Struthio camelus: one gene and its partner. The protein of the gene in region 1 purifies or fractionates together with the protein of each later gene. This does not show direct contact. Links are inferred from orthologs where the notes say so. Each region holds a gene or a part of one and is shown on either strand. Other genes may lie near its edges.

Region 1 (7,405 bases):
TGTGGAAGGACATAAATAAGAGGAACATAATCTGAAGCTGGAGAACACCTTTCGAAGTTTTGGCCCAAAGACATAAATCTCTGCAAAGATGAACAGTACTAAGTGTATAATAAAGTTGTTTGACAATTTAATGATTTTATAAATGCCTGACTTCAGCTTCCAAGGCCAAATGGTTATGTTGCAAGTAGATAGCATCAGAAATTTTCTATGATAAATGACTTAACTTCTGACAGCTTGATTCAGAAAGAAGTGTTACAAGAGGGCTGTTATGCCAACATACAAAAAAGCAGTTCATACACATGTGTATACCCATGCCTCCATTAGATTACTATGTAACATAGCATAAACTTCAGTGTGAAAGACTACCAATGCTAATACTGGAAACAATCTCCTTGTTACCAAAGTGACAAAATACTTCACAGTAGCCCATTTCAGATGTTTCTTTCAGCTCCCCGGAAATAAATTAACATGCTCCTAAATGAACATGTAATGTAAATGAATGTGTCTCAAAAAATTAAGTCATCTGTCTACCTCAGATGAGTCTGAAGTTTCTCCTGGACAGAGGAGAATGGTTCAATATTATGAGAATCCCCTTGGAAAGCTATTGCATTACAAGTCCAAAGGCAGATGGCTCTAATACCAGACTGTCTGTCCTGTTACTCAGATTTCCCTAGCAGAAGGAAATTTCACACTGGCCATACCCATCCAGCTTATTCAGAAATAATTACTTGTGAATAATACGCTTTCCCAGTTAAACAAGTAAGTGAACTGGTATGTAAATTTACCACAGCTACAGCATGGTAAATTCACATTCTACACCGTAACCTTCAAGAAAAACACTTCAAGAAAAAGCAGGGTGTTCCCTGCTCACCCTCACTCCTCATTGCAGTGTTTCTTCATCTGATTTACAGATCATTGATGGCCCCACAATATCAGAAGTAATGAACAGGAGGAGACTATCAAAAACTGAAGTAACACACAAACAACTTAAGACATACGCATCCCAGTATCCTTTCTCTTCCTGACAACTTACATAGTGAAACCATAGCATACTCTTTCCTCAAAACATTGCTGGTGGAGCTAGATGGGTAGCAGGCACGACCACCACATCTGAACTTGCTGCTGGGTAATATCCTGCCTTATAAAAAACTAGAGCTTGCCAATTATTACGTTTTGATATGAATAAGAAAGCTTTTCTCTTTTCCTACTAACTGTAGCATATGTCTAATACAACACAGAAGCACAAAACAATTCATAAGTTTATGGGAGTCGTACCCCAGAAACAATACGCTAGAAACAATGCATCTTCAATAGTAAGAGGACTGATTTAACAGAAAATCTGATCAGCAGAAGCCTCAGTGCAAAAAAATATATATACCAGCAAAAGGGTACTTTCACTTTTAACTCATTTTGTGCAAGGAACCATCTGGTTATTACCCACCTCTACCCTAAAAAAATTTTCCACTAAAGATTAAACTTGAGATAACATAGCCCACTGAAAAATTGTGTCATTTAAACATCTTATGATCAATAACATTGCACAATTCTTTCAAAAACAGAGCCCGAGGCATTCCAGGGACCCAAAACACTTTCCCTTAAAATCTCTATTAACTAGTCTAAACAAAGCTACTAACCTCAGGCTGTGAGAGAGAATTCTATCTAGTCAGTGCAATAGTTTGTCCTAAATTGGATTATCCACATGAATGCCTAAATAAATGACTGGGAATAAGAACTGCTGCTTTGGTCGACTTTATTCCTGTACCCTGTGCTGCTGAGTTTTCTAAATAGATGCATTAATCAGAAGGACCTCCTTTTGTGTTGAACTCACATATGCAAAGTGGAAACACATTGCAAACAATCATTAACTTCGGACTCTATTAGACTGCTGCTGCAACAAGAGACTATGTATAGCGAAGCAAAACCTTGAAAGGGGTAAAGGGGCGCAACAGGTTGCATTATATCCCATTATTATGTAGCTTCCTACCTGTAGAGTTATGGAAGTGAAATTCCATAGTCTGAATGAAAACCTCAAACAACAGCAACCTCCTTTTTTTTTTCCTCCTCCTTAAGAAAGGTAGGGAACAGTATGGTTGATACATTCTAACCTGTTCACTACTCCCAAAGGATCTCGCCAGATACTCATTAGACATTTATTATCAATTTTGTATCAGCTGAGATGTATACAATTTGACAGTACAAGCTGTATCCAACAGAGAGATAATCCTTTTTTCTCCCGAACCATCAGGTGATGTTCACAAGTACACTGCCCTCTATTTCACAGCCAACCGCCCTTCTCGCACAAGAGTGCAAGAAACAGGCGTTCTTCTCAGGGAAGAATGGACTTCCAGGGAGAAACAGACTTTCCCCAGCTGGAGTTAAAATTCTGACGGCGCTATCATCATTTCTGCCAGCTTCTGCAACGCCACAGCACCCGGGCACGAGTTCTCACAGGGCTCCTTCCTCAGCTTACATCTTGCTCGGTTTCCAAGGATACCTGAAAACACCGCTGCGGCTAGCGGCCTTAGCCCGGCCGTCCCGGTGGGACCTTTTCCTCCGACCAGCCCCGCAGGCCGGCGGCCGCCAGCCGGGGCAGCCTCTCGGGAGCGCTGCGCTCCGCACCGGGGCTGCGCGCGGCCGGCAGAGCCCCAGGCGCCAGGGCCGAGGCCGCCGCCGCGCTGCCCGCCCGCCCCGCGCCGCGGCCGAGCCCGGGGCCTCCCCGCCGCCCCCGCAGAGCCCCGACCCGCCGCCCCCCGCCGGGCGCAGGGCAAGGGCGGCCGGCCGGCCGGGGAGGGCGGCACAGGCCCTGGCGCTGGGCGCTCTGCGGCCCGCCCGGGCCCCCTCCCCGGAGCGGTACCTCCTCGGCGGCCGGCTCCTGCGCAGAGGCCGCCGCCGCCGCCGCCGCGGAGGTGGACGGCACTTCGCCATCCGAGCGGGCGGCGCTGCCGGGGCCGGCGTCCATGCTGCGCGCGGCGGGGCCGGGCCGGGCCGGGGCCGGTGGCGGGGCGGGGCGGGGGCGGGGAGCGACCCCACCGCCCCCAAACAGCGCGCGGCCCGGCCTCCGCCCCCCGCCCGCCTTCCCGCGCCCGCAGCTATCGCGAGACCCCACGCCGCGGCGGCGGTGCCACGACACGGCCGCTCCCGCCTCTCCCGCCGCCGCCAGGGGACGGGGCGTCGCGCATGCGCACACGCCGCGGGGTGGGGTGGGGGGCGGTGGTTGGAGCCGTGCCTGAGGCGAGGCGAGGCGGGCGGGGCGGCGCTTGGTGCCTCGTGCCGCGGCGCTGCGAGGCTGCCGCCGCCATCTTGCGGCAGCGCCGCCTCACGGCGAGGCCGCCGCGGCCCGCAGGCCTTTCGGCTCTCCCAGGCACCGCCGTGCTCTCAGAGCCAGTAGCCGTGACGGTGTGTAGCCCACTACAGCCACTGCTAAGGCCCCCGCGCTGCCGCATCTGTAATTGTCAGGCCCCGAGGGACGGGACGCAGCCTGCTGCCAGTGGCAGCTCAGCCCAGGCATGTCCCCGCGCCCTGGCACGGCCGTCGTCCCGGCTGCTGTGGGAGAGCGAAGCGTCCGTGCTGACATGGGGAGCGGTAGGAGCTGAGGAAAGAGGCAACGCTGCAGGAGCCAGGCTGTGGAAGAATACGGTAAGAGATAGGAAACGGTCGCAGTTGCAAATCATATCCCTTGGTTCTAAACAGTGCTGCATATCACCAGTACGTCTTCCTAGGTGCCCCATGCTCTGTTCGGGGGAACATGATTCCTTAACATCTGCAGAGCTAAGGTATACCAAAGGTGTTCCCAAGCCAAGAGTAGTTTAAGGGGTATTCATTAGAAACATTGTTTTTAATCATTCTAAATTCAGCAGTGATTACATATTTCATGTTGAAAGCTGCACTTATGAAGCCACTCAGTTTGCTTTTTGTCAGCGCGCGTATTTCTGATTGTCCGTACAAAGAGTTCAGGTTCTAAGCTGCAGAGCTCCAGCTTGGCTCATTCTCCTGAAGGATTCCAAAACAATCCTTGAGATGGCGGAGTTAAAAAACAGAGAGCTCCAAATCATCCATTTTACCTGATGATTACTTGCAGAGGCAATACCTTGTCCAAAGAAATAGATCAAACCCCAGCCCTGTAGGCAGAACAAGCAATAAAAGTTTTTTCATTCCAGTAACAAGTTCAGTATCTGTTATCAAGATCTTTCAGCATGAATCAGCAACTAAACTGAGCAAATGGGTTATGCAGTTCACATACACTGCATTTAGAAAGGTGCATCAAAGACCTCTCTGCAATATATACATAGTGTCCAATAAAAGATGTCATTCTGTGAAGAGTTAACCCTGTATTTCTGAAATGTTTCCATGACTGCCTGATCGTTCTGGAATTCAGTTTCTAAATCATGGTCTAGCATAGACCACAAGAAGCTCTGAAACTTCTTGTGAAACAGCTGCAAAATAGCAGTGCTATTACAAATTATTAAGCACACTACTGCCTTCAGTGTCTGTTGCATAGTTTGCAACAAGGCAAGGTCCACAGTGGTCTTCAGTAGACCTTCCAGGTAATTTATTTTTAAAAACCTTTGGGAAGTACATTTTTCTTAGCACAACTGAGGAGTGACACGACTGTTGCTAAGAGTACTCCAAATACCTTTTCTAAGCAGGGTCATCTAGATCATAAAGCTTAACGTTACCTTTGCAAAAGTCTCTGAGTTGGGGAAAATCTGCTCTGTGATGCATTTGTTCTTGCATCTTTACAGAAAACAGCTCACTAGCCGTTTTTAATACTTGACTTTCCTACAGCAGTTTCAATTGCTTGTAGCTTCTGTCTATACGAAGCACTCTCAAGTGTTTGTCACAGCTTGATTTTTACTTGAAATTCATGGGAACGTTACATGCCGTACAAAACAATCAAGCTGCAGCTTTCATGAAAGGTGCCCTTTGAAGATTTGTTACTTGTGTGCTTAGCATTTGCATTTGGCACTTTGCTTAGATGTTCTTAGTTACCTCCCATCGACTATGTTGTGTGCTCCTGCAGGTCCACAGACCATGAGATGAAAAATCACTTAGATATACACTAGTATTATCAAGTCATATTCCACAAATCTAATTAAATATAAAAGCATAATGTTTTTTGCATATATTTTACACCTTTTTATAGTTACATCTTTTGTAATACTTGTAAATTTCACAGAATTTCTCTGAAGTTTTTTGTTGGGGTGGGGGGGATGACACTAGCTGTCATGTTAAAGTTGTGGACTTAGCTATTACTTCTGTGGTTTCCCATTTTTTTTCCTCCCTTCATTTACAATCTGCCAGGCACAATTACCAGTAGTCCCCTAAACACTTGAGTTTCATAGCAAGGCCTTCTCTGTCCAGCTCAAAGGTGGCACTTGACATATTGTGTGACAGGCACTATATTTTCTTGTTAGACACAGAAAAATAAATTGCATATACTTAGGCTCATAGTGTCCTAAACTGTTACCATTTTACATTTCAAAAACTGCTGGAATATGGAGAGAGTTGGTGAGGTGTGGATCCAAAGATATTTTCATAGTTATCTCTAGATAAGACTATAAAGAGTCTTTCCTTTGTGATCTTGGACGGTAGATACTCAGCCTCTCCCAAACAAGTAGTTAATTGTGGTGGACTTAGTTTCTCTAAACTAAAGCTTGGGTAACTTTTTTTAAAAGGTCTCGATATTCTGTGAAATTGCATTATAGGCCAAATTGTCATAAGATTCCGTTCTGTATGAGTTCATGTAAATGAATTCTATAGGTACGTACCTATGGGTGTGGATGGAGAAATGTTACCACAAAGCTGATCAGAGAGGTAAAGTATGTGCTGAGAGATTGTGTGTGAAAAAAATCTCCCAAGAACTGATAAACTCCGGAGAACAGTAGACCTGTTGAATGCACAAGAAGTGATACACTCAGTACACCAACAGTTTGCCAAATCTGTAGAAGGCCACCAGCACACACAAGCATCAACAGGTCGTATAACTCAGACCACATCCAAGAAAGTGGTGGCTGTGGCTACTACAACTACACAAGCCTACAGCATCATAAATACACCTGATGGAAGAAAGAATGCCTTAAAGGACTTTCCCAGCAGCTACCTAGAAGCCACTGGCATGTCAGTGTGACCCTCTGCTTCTGAATAAACATCTGGGGCCAGCCACCTAACTCTTGCTCAGACCACGTAAATATGTGGTGATTGTGTGTACGTGTAATTGAACCGTGTGAGGAAATAAGTGAATGCACTGTGTGAATAACTATCTGTTAGTAATAAGAGTTTGAATCTATTAATAACTACTTAATAAAAGATGTCTTAATATCAGTTGTGATCTGTGCCCTCTCTTACTTAATCTCCTGTGAGTGAAAAGAGAATTTTACAAGAAAAGGGTAGTATTTTTGTCAAGTGCCACTAGATGGCAATATCATGCTATATTCGGTTCAGAAATCCTGCCTTCAAGGTAATTGGGCAGCCTATATATTATTTACTATGAAAGCAGCTCACTCTTAAAAATAATTTTATCGAGAATAGGAAAAACTGTATATACATTATATTTATGAAGCGTCTCATACCTACTTGTGTTTAATTATTTGTAGTACTTCATTCTGTACATTCAGTATGTTCCCTGCAATACAAAGATGTTGAGGGGGTGGGGAGAGGATTTCACATTCAAGAGACTCTCCATTAAATGCTATGGTCCAAAAATCTATATATACACACCTAGTCATTTGTAGTTTAAATATGCTGGCTATGAACTTAAACCACAAAATACATGTGAAAACACATGAGCTGTAAGCAGTAAACAGCTTTATAGACTGGAAACAAGTAGGATCTGGGATTAAAAATAAGTGCACTATCTGGGGAGTTTGGGAAAAACTAGTCTATGCGGGAACTGCTCTTTAAAAACAGTTTCCTGACTTTACTGCAGAGTTAACTCACATGGTTACCACCTTTATCTATATAGGCTAGCCCAAGTGTGAATAACCACAGCACACTAACCATTCATTACCTCAATTTCAGTGTTATGCTCTTGCTTAGTTAAGTTTTGCTTATATTAGATACCTTCCCTTCCCCCTCCCCCCAAAATCTCAGTTGTTAGCTGGTTCAGTCTCACAATTGCTTTAGTTGGAAAGAGTGATGACAGAGCTAAGTGTTCCTCTGATGTAATCTTATACATTGTAATCTTAACAATTAATCTGCCAGGATTCTGAGGGTACTGATAGGCCTTGGAGGCCCTGACCAGCCTTACCTGGGGCCTCCACCCACACCCCCTATCCATGAGCTCAAGAGCCTGATTTCACCTCAGCCCAGGGCTTCCATCCCTGCCCAAGCTCACCATCAGGGGAGCAAGGAGCTGAGCGTGCTAACGTAGCTGGCAGGGCAGGCCCAGGAACAGCAGTCAGGTTCA
Region 2 (7,796 bases), on another chromosome or scaffold:
TCAAGTATTACCAGCAGATCTGCTCAGTCAGGGCAGGACAGGTCCAGATGGCCTATCACTATAGCACCTTCTGACTAAATACGGGCAGAGCTACCAGAAGAAAACAAATTGGTGAGGGGAATAAAAAACAAAACAAGAAATAATAGTTCTATTTTTTTTAAAAAAAAGAAAAAGCGTATTAAAAGATGAGATTTTGTCCAGTTTGGGAACTGCAGTGACCACAGCAGTGAAACTCCAATCCCGCAGTGCAGTAAGGTCTGAGCAACTGAAAAAGCAAGGGGTATTTGTTACATGCACAACTATAGGGTTAGCTTAAGACTTTCACCATCGTAACAATGTTGTAAGAGTTAAGCAAACTCTTCACTGGAGATACACTTATATTAGCATAAAAAGGCACCAACCAGGTTCTTACTTGAGAACCAACCTGGGCCCTCCCCATCAGGGGAATATCCTCCAGGAGCATCCGACTGCATCCCAAGCAAGGCCGGCCTGGAGGGACATGGGGTGCGCAGGTGGACAAACATTTGCTACAAAGCACTTTGAACATCAGAGCATTTCAGCTGAAACACTCTGAAGTGACCCGCGTGAGCTTTCCATTTCTATTTGAATACATCGGAAAACAGGTTCCGATGGACTGGGGCAGTCACCCCCTCAATTACCGCATCCCAGATGAGGGACAGTAACTTTTGACCGAGGGGACTGTAACTTCTCAAACCACTTGCCCTCAGCCACAAGTGTACCTCCTGCGATAACCAAAGCCAGAGTAAGAAAATTTCATCTGTAGATGATCGCATAGTTTCATTTTTGGTGGCTAGCTATTCCCCCCCCCCCCCCCAAATATTGCCTTGGGGGCTGGCGTTCCTTAAACGCCTAGAAAGACGGCCATCTCTGTTCCGTGCAGAAGCCCCTGAAACTCAAAGCCTCTCTCGGATGCACCAGACTATCCTGTGAGATGGCCAGAAGGGACACAGGCTTTCCTAAGTGAGAAACCAAGGGAGAAGCCTTCTTTATGCAGCTGACTAACATACAAATCAAGAATCACATAAAGCAACACCCTTAAAAAAAAAAAGTATTACTTACTAAGTCCCTTTATGGTTTTGTTCCATAAACAGTGTACGCTCTTTGTGCAACACACCATTCCCAGATATCCCTGAAACCATTGATGAGAGGGGAACAACTACACCAGGGAAGAGGTAACAAGACGGTGAACTTCAAGGAAGAGCAAATTTTAAAGCAGCCTGCACTAGACTGCTGATATCACACAGGGAAAGGGAAGGAGATGCACTCTGCACGCCCGAAGACGCAAAGCTATCACAGCTGCATCTGTCCCCTTGCAGCACGCAGATTTTAACTGTGATGTCCACTGGCACTCGTACAAGGCGTCACCCTTTAAAACCAGTCTCCGCAAAACGCAGCAGGCCATCCCCACGCGCAGACGTTGCTGGCGACGTTTTCGGTGGGCTAGTCGTGCTTCATATCGCTCTCAGCCCCAGCCCGTGCGCACGCATCTCCTCTCCCCCTGCGACCCCCAAAAGCAGTTAATTTGTTCCCAGTGATGTTAACTCCCCCACCCTAAGCGTGCTCTAGGAACCAAAGGGGAGCCCACATTTACTTCATTTGTGAAGCAAGCCAGATGCTAATTGCCTCCAAAGGTGAAAGGCTAGCGCCTTGGCCCTTTTATCATTGTAAATTCAGGTTCCTCCAAGACTTTGCGCTGGCGGCCGGAGAGCCTCCCCCTTTAATGGTTTTGCCTCAATAGGAGGGGGAGGGGAGTTCCCTTTCGCAAGAAGTTGCATCATTGAGAGACCTTACCCCCTTTCAAGATTTCGCACTGCATAAGGGATTCCCCCGCTTCAGAAATTCGCATCCTGCTCAAGGCGTTGTGCTCTTTAGGGCTTCGCACATCCTATTGAACTTTCCAGCATCGATGCAATTCGCGTTCCCGGGGCAATTACTGTCTTTAAAAAACGCACGCCACCATGTTATTCACCCGGTTTATTGCCAATGTGCTGGCAAGAATAGCTTTTCACCGCAAGCACAAAAGATTTCCTACCCCGACACACTTTGTTTGCAACATTTGTAGCCAGAGCGCAAAATATTTACAGAACATTAGCCACACGCAAGGGAAGGGAGGGGGGAAAAAAAAAAAAAAAGGCAGCACGGGAAAGTTGCACAAGGAAATTTTGGAAAAAGCACAAAACCAGCGAGTCGTCTCTCCGCGGGCGGACAGATAAGGTGTTCGAGGCACCGCAGCTGGGCTGAAATTTCCCGTCTGCCCTGCACAGAGCCCCGTCCCCCCTCCCCTCCGGTCCCCCCCTTCCCTGCGCGGCGCACAATGAGCGCAGCCCTCCCCGGCGGATTAACCCGCGCCCGCGGGACGCGCCGGCCGGGCTGCAGGAAGGCGGCACCTCCGGCCGCCGCGGCCAGGTGGGAACCGGGCCGCCACGACCGGCCGCGGCGGTGCCCGCTGGGGGGGCACCGGAGCAGGGCAGGGGGGGCGCCGCCCCGCCTCTCGTCGCCACCATTTTAGGCGAGGTTGGAGGGGGCGCGGGGACCCGCGGACCTCCCCCCCCCCCCGCTTTGTGTCTGCGTGTGTGCACGGACAATGCGGCCCCGCCGCCGCGCCCGCTGCCCCGGTCGTGCGCCCCGTTTCGGGGGGGGGGGGGGGGGGAGGGTCCTGCCTGCCGCCGCTGCTCCGGGACGGCGGCACCGAAAGTTTTGCGAGCGCGCCCGGCGGAGGCGCCGGAGTCGCCGCCGGCCGAGGGGACACCGGGGAGGGGAAGGAGGCGGAGGAGGGGGGGGGGAGAGGCGGAGGTGGGAGGGGGGGGTCTCACCTCGATCTCGAAGTCGGGCAGGCGGAAGGCGGTGCGGAAGAGCGAGCAGAAGTGCGCGATGGCCGGGACTTCCCACCAGGAGCGCAGCTCGTCCAGCGCCGCCGCCGCCGCCGCCTCGGAGCCGGCCGCGCCGCCGCCGCCGCCGCCGCCGCAGCCGCCGTCCTCCTCCGGGCACATCTCCCGCGGCCGCCGGCTCTGCCCGCCCGCTCGCTGCCTCACTCCGCGGGCGGCTGCGCGCCGCCGCCGCCGCGCTCCGCCCGCCCCCCGGCGCCACGCCGCCCCGCGGCCGCCCCCCGGCGGCCCCGCGCTGCCCCCTCGCTGCCGCCCGCCCGCCCGCCCGCGCGCGGGGCCGCTCCGCGCTGGCGCGGGGGGCGCTAGGGCCGGCGGGGGCGCTGCTGCTGCTGCCGCTGCTGCTGCTGCTGCTGCCCCTGCTGCGGGCGGGCGGCGGCCGCCGCCGCGCCGGCCCGCCCGCCTCCGCCTCCCCGCGCCGCGGCCCTCGCCATGCACCGCGGCCGCCGCGCCGCCGGCAGCAGCAGATGGGGCGCCGGGGGGGGGGGGGGAGGGGGCGTGGCCTTTGGGTTGGTGGGGGGGGTAGCCTCAGGCGGGCGGGCCAATAGGGAGGTGGGAAGGACGCCGGTGGGGCGGGGCCGCGAGGGGAAGGGGCGGGGCCGAGGTGGGAAGGGGGGAGCCGCGCGGCCGTGCACGAGGAGGGGGTGGAGCTGGCGCTCATCACAACAACAGGCCCCCCCGGCGCCCGCCCGGGCCACGCCTACCGGGGGGGCGGGGCGTGGGGCGAGGCGAGGGGCGGGGGCGGCCGTGCGCTCCGCGGCCGGCGTGAGGCGAGGGAGCGGGGCGCCTCTCGGGGCTGAGCCCCTCGGAGACACCTCGCAGCCCTTCCTCAGGCCCGGCTGGCTTCCTTCCCCCGCCGCAGGGGAGCCCCGTCCGTTACTGCCGCCGACACGGCTGCCACTGGGGCCGCTCCCCGCCCCGCCTCAGCCCTCCCCGACCTCCCGCCTCAACGGTCGCCTCAACGGCCGCCTCAACCGCCACCTCAACCGCCGCCGCCCGCCCGGCCTCCCTGCGGGCCGTCGAGCAGCCCAGGGCAAGGCCTCGGCTCCCCAGGCGGCCCGGGGGCACCTGCCCTGCAGCGGCCCAGCTGAGCAGCGGCCAGTGTCCCCCAGCCTGCCATGTCCTGGCCGGGCCTCCAGATTTTCTGTTCTCGCTTTATATTTGTAAGTGAGGGAGGCCAAGTGGCACTTCTCGTTCTCCCTGCGTTGCTGCGGCAGAAGGAGTGGGGAGCCCCTCTCTCTTGAGGTGCTTTAACGTCTCACCCGGGTGCCCAGTACCTCCATTTCTCCTGGCCCTGCAGTGAAGAGAGTAACAGTGCCCCGTTTGGAAATCTGTTAAGAGAAAAGCATTCAGCAAGAATTAGGTATTACCTTCTTGCAGGACGGACTATAACAAGGTATAGAGATGTAATGAAATACTACGCTGGTAACAGCTTTGTATGCTGACCCTGTGTTACGTTACAGCTGCTCAGTTTGCCTCTACAGTCCAGCTTCAAACCAGTTGCAAAGTATTACTGTGCACAGCTGTGCCAGCTTAGGATCTTACCTCCAGTGAAACGCTTGCAAAGACATGTTTAACTACAGTTTAGGACTCCTTCCTCTCCTTCCTTCCTCTCCTTTCTACCTTCATCTGGCTGGGGACGTTTTTATACCAGCACTACTTTTCCTAGCCCTTCCTTTCCTTTACTCTGTTAACTTTCTCATCTTCAGCCTCTCCTCTTTCTGTCTGGCAGAGGCTGACAGGCTGTTGCTCGCAGACGTGCTGGGGTCCGTGCAGGAAGGCACACCTGAGATACCTACAGCCCAGGCTGAAGCCTGAGGCAGTGTAGCATTGATAATGCCTTCAAATCTTGCCTGTTTGATATCCCCAAATGTGTTCTCAATGAATGCTGGAAACGTGGCAGAGGTGTGCTCTGCCCCAACACTTGGAGTCCCCCAGCAGGCTCGGCTGAACGCCTTAGGGCATGGTTTCCGTTACCCCCAATCCGGCTTAGGCTGCCCCCAAAAGGAGCATCATTTTTACGCCTTCTGACAATATCCCTGCCCTGTCCCTTGTGTCAGAGTTAGCAATCGTCCGGCTGCTGGGTGATGTGGCTCACTGATCTGACAGAAGGCTGCCTTTTTTTTTTTTTTTTAATGATGGTGACAAAGAATTAGTTTTCTCTCGGATCAGCAGAAGTGACTTGATTAATCCCCCCGCCATGTGGTCACCAGCACTGATGCAAAGAAGCAGTGAAACGCCTGAGAAGGGACGGAAGGGAGAGTACAACCTCCCCTTTCAGGAGTAGCCTGAAGACAGACTGGATCAGGCGAAGGGGAAATCACATTGCAAATATCCTGGTCTGTCTCTGGTTTGAAGGCATAAGCGAGGGAAAGGCTGGTAGCATCAGCTGGCAATGGCATTGTTGCTGCTGAGTTAATACCAGCTGACATAGAGCAGCCCATGGCTCTCAGAAATGTGATTTCAAACAGTCTCAAGCATCTATTTTTGATATTTTTTAGTTTCCTCTCCCTGTTTCTTTTCTAAATGGAAGTTGACAATAGAGAATAAGAAGAAGGTATGAGAGCTGTGCTGTACCAGCTGTACACGTGTGACCACGTGTACAGCTGACCACGCTGTACCAGCCTTACCATGAAAACTTTGGCCAAGGGTAGGAACACTTCATTTAGAGAAGAAACAAAGATGCAGCAGTTGGGCTGTCAGCAAGAATAAACAATCTCTGAGTTCATTGCCCTTTTTCATATTGCAGGATCAAGGGATACCCAATGAAATTGGAAGGAATCAAGTTTAAAATGGTGCAAGGAAATACTTGTACTGTGTACAATTAACACACAGTATTTGTTACCATAAGGTTTCATTGAGGCTGGGAGATTAGCAGGATTCAGAAAAGGATTAGACGTTTATATGGAGACTAAGAACATTCATGGTCACATTAGACAGGATATAAATAAATTTTAGGAGGGATATAAACTGTCAGGCTTCAAGGCACAGCATAACCACTAACTGATGGTGAGGGATTAGGGAGAAACTTCCCTCGTGGCCAGGTTAGTCTATAACTGTCCACTACAGGGTTTCTCGCACCTTTCTTCGAAGTATCAGACAGCAGCAACTGTCAAAGTGAGCATACTGGACTGGAAGGGCTACTGGTCTGATCTGGTATGGCAATTGCTCTGCTCTTCTGTGGGTAGGGGCTGCAAAGGTTGCTTTAGCAATGGAGGGGCGATGAGGATAAATAGTGATATGGGCATCAGTGGTGCATGGAGCAGCATCAGGCACTCCTCAGGGTCCAACCCCCTTCTCATTTGCTGTAAATTCCACACCCACAACAGAGAACGTCTCCTGAAACACACGCCGTCAAGCCAGTTTATAATTTACCTTTCTACGTACAGTATTTGTGTCTGTTTTCCCCAAAACTACTTTAAAAAAAACCTTTTGCCTTTGACGACTTATTATTTACGTGAAACCAATATGTTGTACTGAAATCATGACTCTATTTCCAGATGCAGTGACTCTGAGCCTTGGTACTGAGCAAAGAAGTGTCTGATCTCTTGTGTATTGTATCTGCCTGCACTGGATTAAACCAGCTTCAGCTAAGATATGGTAATCGCTAAAGAGGAGTTTGCAGCCCAACATGAAATACTTTAACAACACACAGTTCAGACCAGTATAAAATACCAATAGCTCTGCGTGAGAAATCTTTGGGTCACAAACCCTCAGACACAGATTTCTGTGGGACAGTTAACTGCAGTATTACTTGCCTTTCAAATAATGCTGGTTCTTCCACTGAGCAATCTTTTTGTCCTGTTGCTATGTAAGGGGAGTTTATGTTGCATTTATGTCTTGCTCTGTCTTGACATTCCTCCCTGAATTCCTGTAGTGTCCAGCTATGGCTTATCTTATTGCTGCATCTTAGCTTGTTCTTGACACTAGGTCAAATAGCTTTGTAGTATCCCCACTTTCTATCCCATTAAGAATTTTGTGAATCTTAACAAAGTCTCCTAATCTCTCTTTTTTGTCAGAAAAGCTACAATCCTAATTTCCCCTAAGATTTTTTGAATTAATTTGGCTCCCTCTATCGTCCCCGTTCTTTCTGTCCAATTGTGTCTTCTCTTATATTGTTATCTTTTTATGCAAGGAAGCTGAGAGCCGCCCATGATTATTTAAGGTAGATTCACTTTGCCAGATTCTTACACTGTTCTTAAATCACTTCCTTAGATTTATTATTCAAACACAGAAATCTCTGCTCTCCCTCTGCTGCTGAACAGAGAGCAAAGGCCTGATGAATGCAATCCAGCATTTCCTCTGTGATAAATATCTCCATTCTCAAATCCTGTGTGGTTTTTCCCCTCCATGCCACCTTTGGTTTTGAGTTTCCTGCTCATAACCAAACAAAACCAAAGCCTGTTGTGACCAGGCTTCTTTCCTGGTGTGCTGTAGTCCTCTTGATCAATACTTATCTAGGCTATTGGTTAGACTTTACCTACCTACTGATTTTTCTGTTCAATATCCACCCCGGCTGTTCCCCTCCCTCCATATACGTTCCTCCCTATCCCCATGTTCTCCTTCTTCCTTTCCCCTCAAACGGGCCATCAATTGAATGCGTATACCGTGTAGAGCCGCACTGTGAAAGAACTCTGGGGCTGATGGAGCAAATCAAAGCTTCACGTTTTTGCTGCTCAGCATTGACACTGGGTTTCTGTGCTGCTGTTCCTTTAAGAAAAATGCCAAATTCCAAGTGCCAAAAAACAAACAAAAAAGTTCATAGGTGACATAGGGACTGAAAGTCCCCTTTCCTGTAGGACAAAATCTTTCATCTGGAAGTAAAAGGAAGGGAGGAATGCTTTCCACTTTCTCTGAAAAGACCTGAAATATTTGCTCAATTTAGCAAAGATT

What was found. The genes of interacting proteins can lie anywhere in the genome.
Region 2: the proteins of SMARCA1 (region 1) and CECR2 purify together in Homo sapiens (affinity purification with mass spectrometry; 3 studies listed by BioGRID and IntAct, with this or other methods). This does not show direct contact. The link is inferred for Struthio camelus from reciprocal best matches to the Homo sapiens genes SMARCA1 and CECR2.

Annotation. Positions count from the first base shown.
Region 1 is NC_090952.1:9,558,189-9,565,593, reverse strand, and holds the start of SMARCA1 (probable global transcription activator SNF2L1), read right to left. Parts: upstream 3,005-7,405; 5' UTR 2,960-3,004; coding exon 2,855-2,959; intron 1-2,854.
Region 2 is NC_090942.1:70,502,770-70,510,565, reverse strand, and holds the start of CECR2 (chromatin remodeling regulator CECR2), read right to left. Parts: upstream 3,012-7,796; coding exon 2,835-3,011; intron 1-2,834. UniProt on the Homo sapiens protein: Regulatory subunit of the ATP-dependent CERF-1 and CERF-5 ISWI chromatin remodeling complexes, which form ordered nucleosome arrays on chromatin and facilitate access to DNA during DNA-templated processes such as DNA replication, transcription, and repair.